Tamandua tetradactyla: one gene and its partners. The protein of the gene in region 1 interacts with the protein of each later gene in a pairwise test. Links are inferred from orthologs where the notes say so. Each region holds a gene or a part of one and is shown on either strand. Other genes may lie near its edges. The genes, in order: SDCBP, TNFAIP8 and MEOX2.

Evidence for each region.
Region 2: the proteins of SDCBP (region 1) and TNFAIP8 interact in binary tests that used the Homo sapiens proteins (3 or more experiments, as listed by UniProt). The two-hybrid records come from large-scale screens. The link is inferred for Tamandua tetradactyla from reciprocal best matches to the Homo sapiens genes SDCBP and TNFAIP8.
Region 3: the proteins of SDCBP (region 1) and MEOX2 interact in a two-hybrid assay, tested with the Homo sapiens proteins (2 studies listed by BioGRID and IntAct). The link is inferred for Tamandua tetradactyla from reciprocal best matches to the Homo sapiens genes SDCBP and MEOX2.

What each region holds. Positions count from the first base shown.
Region 1 is NC_135332.1:101,847,707-101,851,527, reverse strand, and holds the start of SDCBP (syntenin-1), read right to left. Parts: upstream 2,597-3,821; 5' UTR 2,463-2,596; intron 1-2,462. UniProt on the Homo sapiens protein: Multifunctional adapter protein involved in diverse array of functions including trafficking of transmembrane proteins, neuro and immunomodulation, exosome biogenesis, and tumorigenesis.
Region 2 is NC_135347.1:9,095,476-9,099,296, forward strand, and holds the start of TNFAIP8 (tumor necrosis factor alpha-induced protein 8), read right to left. Parts: upstream 2,898-3,821; 5' UTR 1-2,897. UniProt on the Homo sapiens protein: Acts as a negative mediator of apoptosis and may play a role in tumor progression.
Region 3 is NC_135327.1:108,686,557-108,690,156, reverse strand, and holds the start of MEOX2 (homeobox protein MOX-2), read right to left. Parts: upstream 2,206-3,600; 5' UTR 1,871-2,205; coding exon 1,357-1,870; intron 1-1,356. UniProt on the Homo sapiens protein: Mesodermal transcription factor that plays a key role in somitogenesis and somitogenesis and limb muscle differentiation. Required during limb development for normal appendicular muscle formation and for the normal regulation of myogenic genes.

The DNA of each region.
Region 1 (3,821 bases):
GGAAGTGGCTGAAATGGGAAAGTTTATGTTGTATTTTTGTTCCCACAATTTTCAAAAAAGAACTAAGGAGACAATGACAAATGAATACATGATTCTGGACTGGCTCTAATAATGGAGAAGAAAAGGCCCAAAAGAACATTACTGGGACATGTGAAAAAAATGTAACATAGACTGGAAACTTAATAAATGTTAAAGTTCTTGAACTTATATAACTGTACTTACAGTGATCACAAGCGAATAGCCTTGATCTTAGGAAATGTACATGAGACTATTATGTTCAAAGAGCAATTTTTTAAGATATCCAGGGAAATTCTGATGATTAGCCACTGAGAAATATGGCCATATGAAATCTACTCTTTGTAGAATATTTCTTCTTATCCATAAGATTCCATTTCTCACCTACTGGATTGGACTGGCAAAAATCCAAAATTTGACAACACACTCTTGAATTTAGCCTTGGGAATTTAGCCTTGGGAAACACTCCCTTCCCATACTAGTGGGAGGCTAAACTCATACAACCCTCATGAATCTGCAATATCTACCAAAATTATAAATGTAGATATTCTCTGACCCAGCAATACCTCTACATGTTAAGCTACAAATAAAGTTGTGCCTGTAGGAAGTGACAAATAGATGTTTACTCACTGCCATACTGATTTTAACAGCAGAACAATGGAAACAAATGAGAAGTTCTCTATGTGCTGACATTGAAAGAGCACCAAAATACCATCAGTACCCGAAAAAACGAAAGGTTCTATGTAGAGCAGTAAGCTTATATTTGAGATAAGAGGATGGGAAAAGAATATTTATGTGATATTTGTATACGTATAAATACCCCTGAATGAATACTTAAGACATGTTTTAACAGTTGGTTGCCCACAGTAAGGGAAAACAGTTGAATGGAGGCATAGACTGGGTGAATTTCATACTAAAGACTTCTTTACTTGCTAAATTTTGACCCATACGACTGTATTATCTTACCAAAAATGAAATAAGGTTACCGAAAACTGTTAACAGCACTTGGAAAGAAATTAATAAATGTTACTATAACTATTACTAGACATGAGAAAGTACTGTAAGGTTGTTAGGGACAGTCGTTTTCATTTTAGGAAATTTAGGCATTTACTGGCCCAAAAAGGTACCTCAGTTTAGCAAAGACAGGGAAAAAGTCATTCACCCTCATTTTAGGGAACTGTTTTACTAAACAGTATATTTAACTATTAGTAAATTTTTCCCCTTTGGGGCATGGCTTTTAATATCCTTTCTTACAATGTCCAAAACATACGTAAAAAGTTTTTCTGCAAAAGTTTAATTTGGATTACAATGGAGTAACTACTTCCTTAGTTATTCCACTTCCTTAGTTTTATTCTGTGGCACATATCACTTGATCTATAATATATATATACACTATTTGCTGCTCAAACGCTTAGAGAACTAAGACGGTAACGAAATTGAGACTTTTTTTTTTTTACTGTTTGCCCTCAACCTGAAATTTAAAAAAGGAAAGAATGAGGCAAACTTGAGTCTTAATCTATCACTTATATACATTTCAGGAAAATCAAATGAACAAGAACTGCAACATATTCTCAACGCAATGTTTCTTTTTAATCAGCTGTCTTCTCTTTGGATCAAGTGAATGTTGGAGTCTGGTAAACCAAGGGCACTTTCTAAGTAACGTCCTTATATAATACAAAACATAAACAAATCAAAGATAGAAAATGTGCATGCAGACAATCCATACGGACTAGATATACCTAAAATTCCTTTCAAAAAACCAGTACATTAGAAAACTCCCCAGTTCAGTAATTCCACCTGGATGCGAATAAAAACTTTCCACATCCCTGTGCCTTCACTTTCCCACTATTCCAATGAAATCCTGAAACGAAAGCTCTGAGTCACCAGCTCTCAAGGGATATTTCCTCCTGAACACACCCTGCTGGAAATGTTTCTCCATTTCCAACTTCTCCAGAAAGAAGCGCGGAGTGTACAACCCCACCCCCTCCCCCTTCCAGAAAGTCGAGGCTTCGCCCACTAAGCAAACACCTCCTTCCTCCTAGCAAAGCTGGGACGCTCCCGCCGACCAGCCGCCGAGGAGGGGAATTAAGTACAGCCCCGAGAACGCGGAACCCGTGACCGACCGCAAGCACCCGCTCTCCCGTGATCTTACCCCGGAGGAACAAAAAGGCTCGCCAGGGGCGGTCCGAGGGTCCCACAGCCAGCTGCTGTGCCCAGCCGGACCGGGACCCCAACCCGCAGGAACCCTGCTGGCAGAGGGCCCCGGCCGCAAACTTCCGCCCCGGGCCCGGCAAGGCGAGGGGAGGGCGCGGGCTGGGCGCAGGGCCCGTAGAGCAGAGGGCGCCGCCGCCGCCCCCCGAAAGCCCCTGACCCAGGACGCTCTCTCCAAGGGACCCGGAGTCCTCTCGTATCCGCGCCCGGACCGCCCCGAGCCCCGAGCCGCTCACCTGGGCCGCAGGACCGCAGGACCGCAGGACCGCTCGCCGACACCCTCTCCTCGCAAGACTTAGAAACCTGAGGGCAGGAAAGCGACGCGCGCCGGGGGAGCCACCCGCCAGCCCGGAGCGTCACGGCGCCGCCCCCGCCTTCCGTCCGCGCGTGCGCGCCACCGCCATCAGCTGACCCGGTCGCTGGGCAACCGGATTGGGGGCGGGGTGGGGGCGGCACTAGCTGCCCCGCTGCTGGGGTCCCCGCCCCCCTCACGTCGCCTTCAAAGAAAGAGAGTCCCGAGGTCCCGGGCCTCCTCCCCCAGCCTGTGACTTCCCCACTGCGGTCTGTGTCACTAACTCCGCGCTGCCTCCCACGCCGTTTCGCAACTCCTGTCCTGTTTCTCTATTGCTTTTTTCTCTTTTATTACTCTGGGCAATGTCAGAGCGAACGTTGGTTGGCTGTTGAAGGCATGTCTGGTGTGGCACAAAAGCAATAGCCGGATCCTAATACAACTATCACCTTGAGATTTTTGCAACTCTCCTGGAAGCTCTAAGAACTTGATGTATACGGTCTTATTTGTACCTTACCTTACATTAATCTGTAAGGTAGCTACGACATCCCCACTTTACAGACAAAGAAACTGAGGTCCAGGTCACCTAAGAGTATATAAACGTACTTAGCAGAGAATTCCATAGACTACGTGACATAATACCTTTAACAAACAGGATTTTTTTTTTTTTGCCTATTTAAATTATTCAATGCCAGAATTGTCTTCCGGGGTAAAATAATACAAGTCTGAGGATAAAATAGCTCAAATGGAAATAAGAGGAAAAATTTGTTTTCGTGGAGCCTCCCATCTAGCTGATGAAACAGACATTTAAAAATATGTATACTAACAGTTGAAATGGGTGCTTGAAGAAAAAGTGCAGGAGACTATGGAAAGATATTACACGGAAGCCAAAATTAGTCTAGGAGTTCAAGGGAGGCTTAAATATGTGGCTTTTAAACTGATGAGTAAGAATTAGCCAAATAGCGAAGGGAGGAAAAGTGTTTCAGGCAAGGGAATAGCTCTGGCAAAGAGTTTAAATGAAACTTGGTGCATTCCAGAAGGTGAAAGGTATTGGGGCCAGAACAAAAAGCTAAGAGAGGGAATGGTTTAAGATGAAACTGGAGAAGTAGGCAATTGAAGCTACTGAAAACATAATGTGATTAAATTTGCCTTTTTCAAAGATTACTCTGGCTACTGCTAGGAGAATGGATTGGACATGAGGACATCTGGGATATGGGGAGACCCACTAGAAGATTATTGTAGTAGTCCAGATGTGACAATTTGTCATTGGGGAAAACTGGACAAATTCAGGAACTATTAGAATAAA
Region 2 (3,821 bases), on another chromosome or scaffold:
GGCTAACAGGTGGTATTTAAAAAATCAAGCAGAAACAGGAAATCTAACGTTTCAACACGCTAGAAAAAAAAAAGGAGTGGATATTAAAAAAAAAAAAAAAAGGGAGCGGCCTCAATCATAGATGGCTGGAAAAAAAGAAAATAAAAAAAAAATACCTCATTCCTACCTGGCCAGTATAAACATGAATTTCTATAAACAGTGACTACTGCTTAGAGGTGTTCCTATTCTCAGAGCGTATAACTTTGCTACTTAAAATGATTAGCCTTTGCTTTTGAAGAGAACATAAAGTTTTCATAAAAATACTGTGACTGTATACGGGCACAGCATATACTGTACATACATACATACCTGCACATATGTGCATATCTACAGTGTAATAATCTCTCTAGAAATATATTTATTTTCCTGGGCATCTGACAGTCCTCATCACCCACATATCTTTCCCTTGTCCAAACCCATCTGTGAGCACAGTGCCAATCCTGTAAGGCCCACTTCAAGGGCACCACCTCCATGAAGCCTTTTCCTGATGCCCCCAGTTAGGTTTCGATTATTTTAACCCCCCAGGCACCTCATTTCTCGGTAGCACTTTTTGGGAACCTATCACAGTTGTCCTTATATTATCTTGGTTCAATAAATATCTCGCTTCCCACTGCATGGTAAGCATCTTGCTTTTATGTTTATCCTCTGTGGCAGGAACACTGTGCCTTGAGCTTACCCAGCATGCAGGGAGGACAAAGAAAAGAAACCAAGTGGAACACAATGAACAAGTGCTCTGGGGTCCTCTAGGCATGATTCACATTCCAGCTCTGGCATTCTCTGGTTCTGTAGACTTGTAAGTTGCCTAACTTCTCTGAGCAGTTTTGCTCTCCTGTAAAAAACAGGAATATCATCACCAGTCTCATAGAATTGCTATCAAGACTGAATAAGGACCAGGTGAAGCAGAAAACATATTTTCTGATGTGCAGTGAAGGCTCAAACAGTAACAAGCATTATTGTTGACCGGAATGGAAATCAAGTCCCTCCTGCTAATTTGGGTAGGAGACTGAAAAGGATACCAGATCAACACCATTTTTACAAACATATCTACACATTTCTTATTTTCACTAGCCCACCTCAATACGTAACTAACCCATAGATGTTTGAATTTTTTACCTTAGAAGCCAGAGCAGGACATTCCTTTTGTGTTCCTTTGTGTTATAGCTCCAAATTCTGGCTGGCCCCTTAATGTTATGACAACATTATCAGGGACTTAGGGTAAAAAAAAAAAAAAGTCAAGAAAAAAATCTTCCTGGAAGTGCGGGATTCTAAATCACAAGAACTTCCCAAACTCTGAATCACCGGCAATTCCAAGGGTAAGCTACAAGGTTACAAAGAAATGGTACATCTAAAGAGAGAAGCAGTTTCTCCCATTTCCCTAAAATGTGGCCTCAGTGATAGCTAAATGACGAGGCAGCCACCAGGAACCACTGTCTGCTACTACTAGGAGAGGACAGAGCAGCAGAGTAAGTAAGGGAAATCTGAAGGAAGAATCTGACAGCCCCACACACCAAAAAAAAACCCCACAGACAGGGTGGCAGAGCCCTCCACCCAGTCAAGAGGCAAGCAGTAAGGTAAGGCGCAGAGATAAGGGCGCACCCCAGCTAAGGGCAGAGAAGGCTACAAGCACTACAGCTGTATTCATTGCTGGGCACCTACACACCCAGCAGGACATCCCTGATTCTGGAGAGAGTTCTCCAGCAATGGGGGAATAAAAAGTAAAGCATGTGGACAGACCAAAAATCTGCAGGATCTCATTCTCACTTAAGACATCCCTGATCTCTGTTTGCCACTATGAAAACTTATTCCTGCAAAGAAGACGCTAAGACTACTTATAATTATGCCTAAGAGTTACCCCCAGAGAACCTCTTTTGTTGCTCAGATGTGGCCTCTCTCTCTAAGCCAACTTGGCAGATGGATTCACTGCTCTCCCCAAAGTGGAACATGACTCCCAGGGGTATAAATCTCCCTAGCAATGTGGTACAGAGTTCCTGGGATGAGCTGGGACCTGGCATCGTGGGATTGAAAAAGCTTTCTTGACCAAAAGGGGAAAGAGAGAAATGAGACAAATGAAAGTTTCAGTGGCTGAGAGATTTCAAACAGAGCTGAGAGGTTACCCTGGAGGTTATTCTTATGCATTTAATAGATATCCCTTTTTAGTTTATGGTATATTGGAGTGGCTGGAGGGAAGTACCCGAAACTGTTGAGCTGTGTCCCAGTAGCCTTGATTCTTGAGGATGACTGCATAAAGATAGAACTTTCATGATATGACTATGTGATTGTGAAAATTTTGTGTCTGATGCTCCATTTATCCAGGGTAATGACAGGTGAGTAAAAAAAATATGGATAGATAAGCAATAGGGGGGATAAGGGATAAAGTAAATTGGGTAGATGGAAATACTAGTGGTCAATGAGAGGGAGGTGTATGGGATGTATGAATTTTTTTCTTTTTTCTTATTATTTCTTTTTCTGGAGTGATGCAAATGCTCTAAAAATGATCATGGTAATGGATATACAACTATATGATGATACTGTGAGCCACTGATTGTACACCATGTATGGACTCTATGTGTTTGAAGATGTGTCAATGAAAATATTAAATTAAAAAAAAAAGACACTTGCAGTAGATTCAACTCTCCAACAATTGTGATGATCAGTCCATGCAGAGAGACATCACCCATATTCTGAGGCAGGGAGGAGAGAGGAGGTAACTGTGCCTTCCAGCCCCAGATGCCCAGGCCACAGCTTAGTGGCTGAGGAATCTGTCCAGACCCGGGTTGTTGAAGCAACCTGGGCTCAGGAACCCAGGTGGTCCTTTCTCTCTTTCTTGGGTGAGCAAACAGCACTGAAGCCAAAACACACTGCTGCTCGGCATTCCCACCTCCCACCCCCACCCCCAGCCCCTGGAGTACAACTGACTCATGCCAGCTTTTGGAGCTTCACACTGATACTAAAGAAGCCATCCTTAGGGGAGTCTGTTTCCATCTTATCTAGCACTTCTTCTCCATCTATCTGCAACCACGAGGATGGTGGCTATTAGACAACCAGATTCCCCACCTCTGTATGCATGTACTACACATTATCCAGGCATCTCAGAGTAGGGCACTATCACTGCAATCATTTCACTCTCCCCACACCCAGGAAAAGTGGCTGACAATCCCAGTTTCCAAAGAGAGTGGCAAAGCAAATGAGGTTAAGCAGAATATTCAACATGGCCCTGCAAGACAGGGCAGGGCTGAGAAGAGAAGCCACGAGAGGCCTTGACCCTCCCAGAGCAATCTCCAGAACACACACCCTCTTTCTAGCCTAGACGACTGCTTTTTTACTTACCCTGAGAAAAACATTTCCTTTACAGCCACCCACATCCTTATCAGCAGCACATTCAACAAAATCACCACAAGAGTGATAAAATTTGTGCCTGCATGAAAACGATACCTTCACTTGTTGCTTTCTTCTGATTCTATAGCCTCACAGATGGAACTGAAAACATCTACGAAAAACCTTGGCCTTTCTGCTTTGGCTTTCCCATTAGGCTCCCTAGTCCCTAGAGCACAATATTTTGTTTTCTTTTTGCTTAGCCCTTCCCTCTCTCCATCAGTCCTCCCAAGACCCCCCTCCACTGCCAGATCCCAGCTACCTCATGCTTCTCACTGGCCTGCCTAAAACCATGGCCCCAAACCCCAAACCAGAGCCCCCTCCTTGATTCAGTTCACTCCTCTTTGTCCCTGGCAAAGCAAGCGGGGAGAAAGGTAGGCTGAGCGGGCATTGTTCCAGGAACCTCAGTG
Region 3 (3,600 bases), on another chromosome or scaffold:
CCCTGACCTTGGAAAGTAAAAGCCAGATTTTGAGATTATGACCCAAGAACACATCCCATACTAAAGCAGAACAATCGACCCCATCGCTGCAGAGTGTGAAGTACGGGGCTCACTCATTGGCATGGGTGTGGGGGTCGCACCTACAGTTTTATAACCAATTAAAATTTTGCAACACTTCAAACCATTAGCTGTGATTACCTTCTAAGACTATTAAACCGATCCCACAAAGGGAGAAAAATATGCAAGTATTATATTAAACAAATGACAGCTTCGGAAAAGATGGAACTCAAGTTGCATGGCAGCTGCAGAAATACAACTTAGAACCTCCTTTATTGTAAACTCGATTTCAGAAGGATACAGATTGGTAAGAGCTTTTAGGAGAACTTGGCGTTTTTCTGGATTGCTACAATGAACTTGGCAGTTGTACCTTCCAGCATCCGAGTTCAGGAAGGCTCCTTTGCGTGGCTATTCAACACCCGCGCGCAGAAAAGCGCCTTCTGCGCCCATCTGCGCACAGGAGCCCTGGGCCCGCAGGGAGCCAGCACTACCGAGCTGCTGTTCGCCTCCAGTGCCTGCCCTGGATAACACTCAATTTGGGGAGGATTTCTTTTCACTTTCGAAACTCCGCGTCTTCACATTCGCACCACATGAATATGAACTACTATTATTGTCTTTCCTTCAGAGTCTGAACATCTATTTATTTACTTACATATCTGCACATTCCTTAATCTTCTAATTCCTATACTGTTTTCCTTCCCAAGCAAGGGGAAATTTTTGCCATTTGGAATAGGGTGCTATTTAAAGAACTCTGAAATCAGAATTAAGGGGGAAAAAAAACCTTGAACTTTTTTTTCTCATGCGCTCTGCCAAGTTCCATTGCAAGTTCCAAATATTGTGCAATAATTCGGAACTCCAGTTAACGGTGGGAAAAATCGAGCCACTCTGAGTGGGGAACTTGCAAGGGAGAAGTCAAAGGGTGGCACCCACTCGCAGTCTCCAGCAGACGCTGCATCCCGGGGACACTCCCTTTCCCTAGCCCTCCGAAGGAAGGACACGGTTCGCAAATCGATTTCTCACACAGACACTTGTCCTTTTTTTCTCGACCCTCTGGTAAACTAGTTGGGAACCTGAGAGAGCTCAGGGCAGCTGGCTGTCTGCGTACGTTCTGTCCTGGGAGAAACGTGTGCCTTTGGCCCCCTGCCTCCCCGCCTGCTGCTGACACAACCAGAGCAGCCCGGCTGGATTCGGCGGCGGGGACGCCAAGGAAAGACAGGTTGCATCTTTCGGCCGCTCCACTTTAATTGAGAGAAATCTTTGGTGGCGTTTCCCCGCCCCCTTCACAACTGGTGCGCTTACCTGAGCTGTCGCTCTTCCTCTTGCCGCCACTTCTCTTCTCCGCCTCCGCAGGCGACAGCGCCTGGCGGCCGTAGTCTCCCGGCGCGCACGTTGCACCCGTCGGGGTGTTGGAACCCAAACTGGGAGAATTGGAACACAGGACTGGCGGGCTGTTGCCCAGCTCCGGGGGGCCTCCGGAGTCCGGCTGGAGGCACAGGCTGTGCCGAGCCGCGCTCGGGGGCGAGGACATCTGCGGGAGGTGCCAGCTGGTCTGCAGAGCCTGGTGCTGCTGAGGCTGGTGGTGGTGGTGGTGGTGGTGATGGTGGTGGTGGTGGCCCCTGGGATGCTGGCTGGCGAACATGCCCTCCTCGTTGGGGTATCCCGCGATTATGCAAGAGGAGGAAGAAGTGGAGAGCTCGGGGTAGGACATGTGGTCAGATCTTCCATGAAGGGCGAGTGAGGACTGGGAGAACGGGTGCAAGCCTTGCGCCGCGGCGTGAGGGCTGCGCAGGCAGCCGAAGAGCGGGTGTTCCATAGCATGCGCGTCTCGGCTTCCAGGCGGAAGACTTCGCGAAGGTTCCGAACTCCACCAGCCTCTGTCGGTTTTCACTGGAGACAGTGGGGTTTTTTCCCCCCCTCCCAAAGCAATAGCAGCACACGCTTCTGCAGAGCGTGGATAACCCCGGCGCCGAGCCCTAGCGGCCAGCCTTCTCTACGCTTACACGCTTGGACCTGGGGGCGCTTCCCTTCGAACCACTCAGAGGTCTAGAGGAGGAGAGGTTCAGCCAAAAGAAGGTGGTCCCAGAGAACCGCTTTCAGGGGGAAGCGGCTCTGGGAGGTTATAAATAGAGTGTAATGTGAGCTGGGGGCTGGCTCAGGAGCCCGGCGCTGACCACAAGCAAACTCCCTCCAAACCGCTCGCTCAGTCAGCGCGGCGCGCTCGGAGCTCACTTCCTCCCGGGGCTGGGCCCCCGCCGCGCGCTCAGACCCGCCGCCCCGCCGCAGCCCCGACGCTCGGCTGCTCTGCGCTAAGCTCCCGGCGGCAAAGGCGCGTGACGCCAGCCAGCTCCAGGCCAGCACCCAGTGCCCCACTCGCCCAGTTCTCTTTCAGTGTCACGTAGGAACTGTCACCTGCAGGAAAAGCTGGGGAGGGGGGTGGGGCGCCCAGCCTTTGAGGAACACGGAAAGGCCGATAGGGTTGAGGGAAAAGGTGAGCGCTAGTTGGGCTCGTACTCTGAAACTTGAGTTTGCAAAATTTCTCGTGCCCTGCGCCCCGGACGCAACCGCGCCCTCCCCATCGCATCTGGTCCCGCCGGCTGGGTGGCGACGGGCTCCGACGCCGGGGCCGAGGTTGCAGAGGTGCGCCCGGCCGCGAAAGGCTGTCTTCGGTGCCTGCAGGAGAAGGCCTGGGGAAGGTGGAGGAAAGCGTGGGCCCGAGACATTGCAGACACACAGGTCCTGACCTCCTCACCTGCGAGGCCGGGTGGGGCCTCCCTTCTCCCCGCTCCTCGCAAACGCCCACCTCCACCCTGTCCTGGACCCGCTCAATTCCCTAAACCACTTGTCCACCAAAAACTTTTCCCGGGTCGGGATTATTCCGAAGCGCTCACGTCTCGGCCACTTGAGACGTTTTGATTATGTGCACATTTCCAGCCTTTGCCCTCGGGAGCCTGAGCCGCCCAATTCCCCTCTTGCAACCCACCTTCTCATCCTCTCAAAATAAATCAGCTGCTCGCACCCCTCCCTACCCTCCCCCCCCCATTATGGATCCATTTATCGAGAAATATTGCGTTCCAAAACCCCACTTCCCCTTCCCTAAACTTAAGAGCATCAGGTTTTACTGGTTATAATTTTGCATGCCAGAAAACTTGCCACCAGTGAGTACCGGCGAGCGAGGGCTGGACTCGATTTTCCTTCCAAAGAGGGCCAAGTGTTGCCTCTAATACTGCCACTTACATAGGGGACGACCCGGTGTGCTGGGGCCGAGTCTTGCACAAGACAAGCGAGCGGCGCGTCTTGAGCTGCCTGAAGTGCGGGTCCCCTGACACTTGTAGCATCAGGATAGCATCTGCGGTCACATATCTCGCCCGCGGCCTCGAGCGAGCCACTAGCAAAGGCGCCGGGTTATTTTCATTGTCTCAGGTGTCCAGAGGGCGGTGACCAGAACTTTGAAGCTGTTAATGAAATTAATGGGGACAGCAAACTGCTCCAGCCATCTGGTTTGAGTTATGAAAAAGTATTGATTAACCTTTAGCGGTGTCCCCA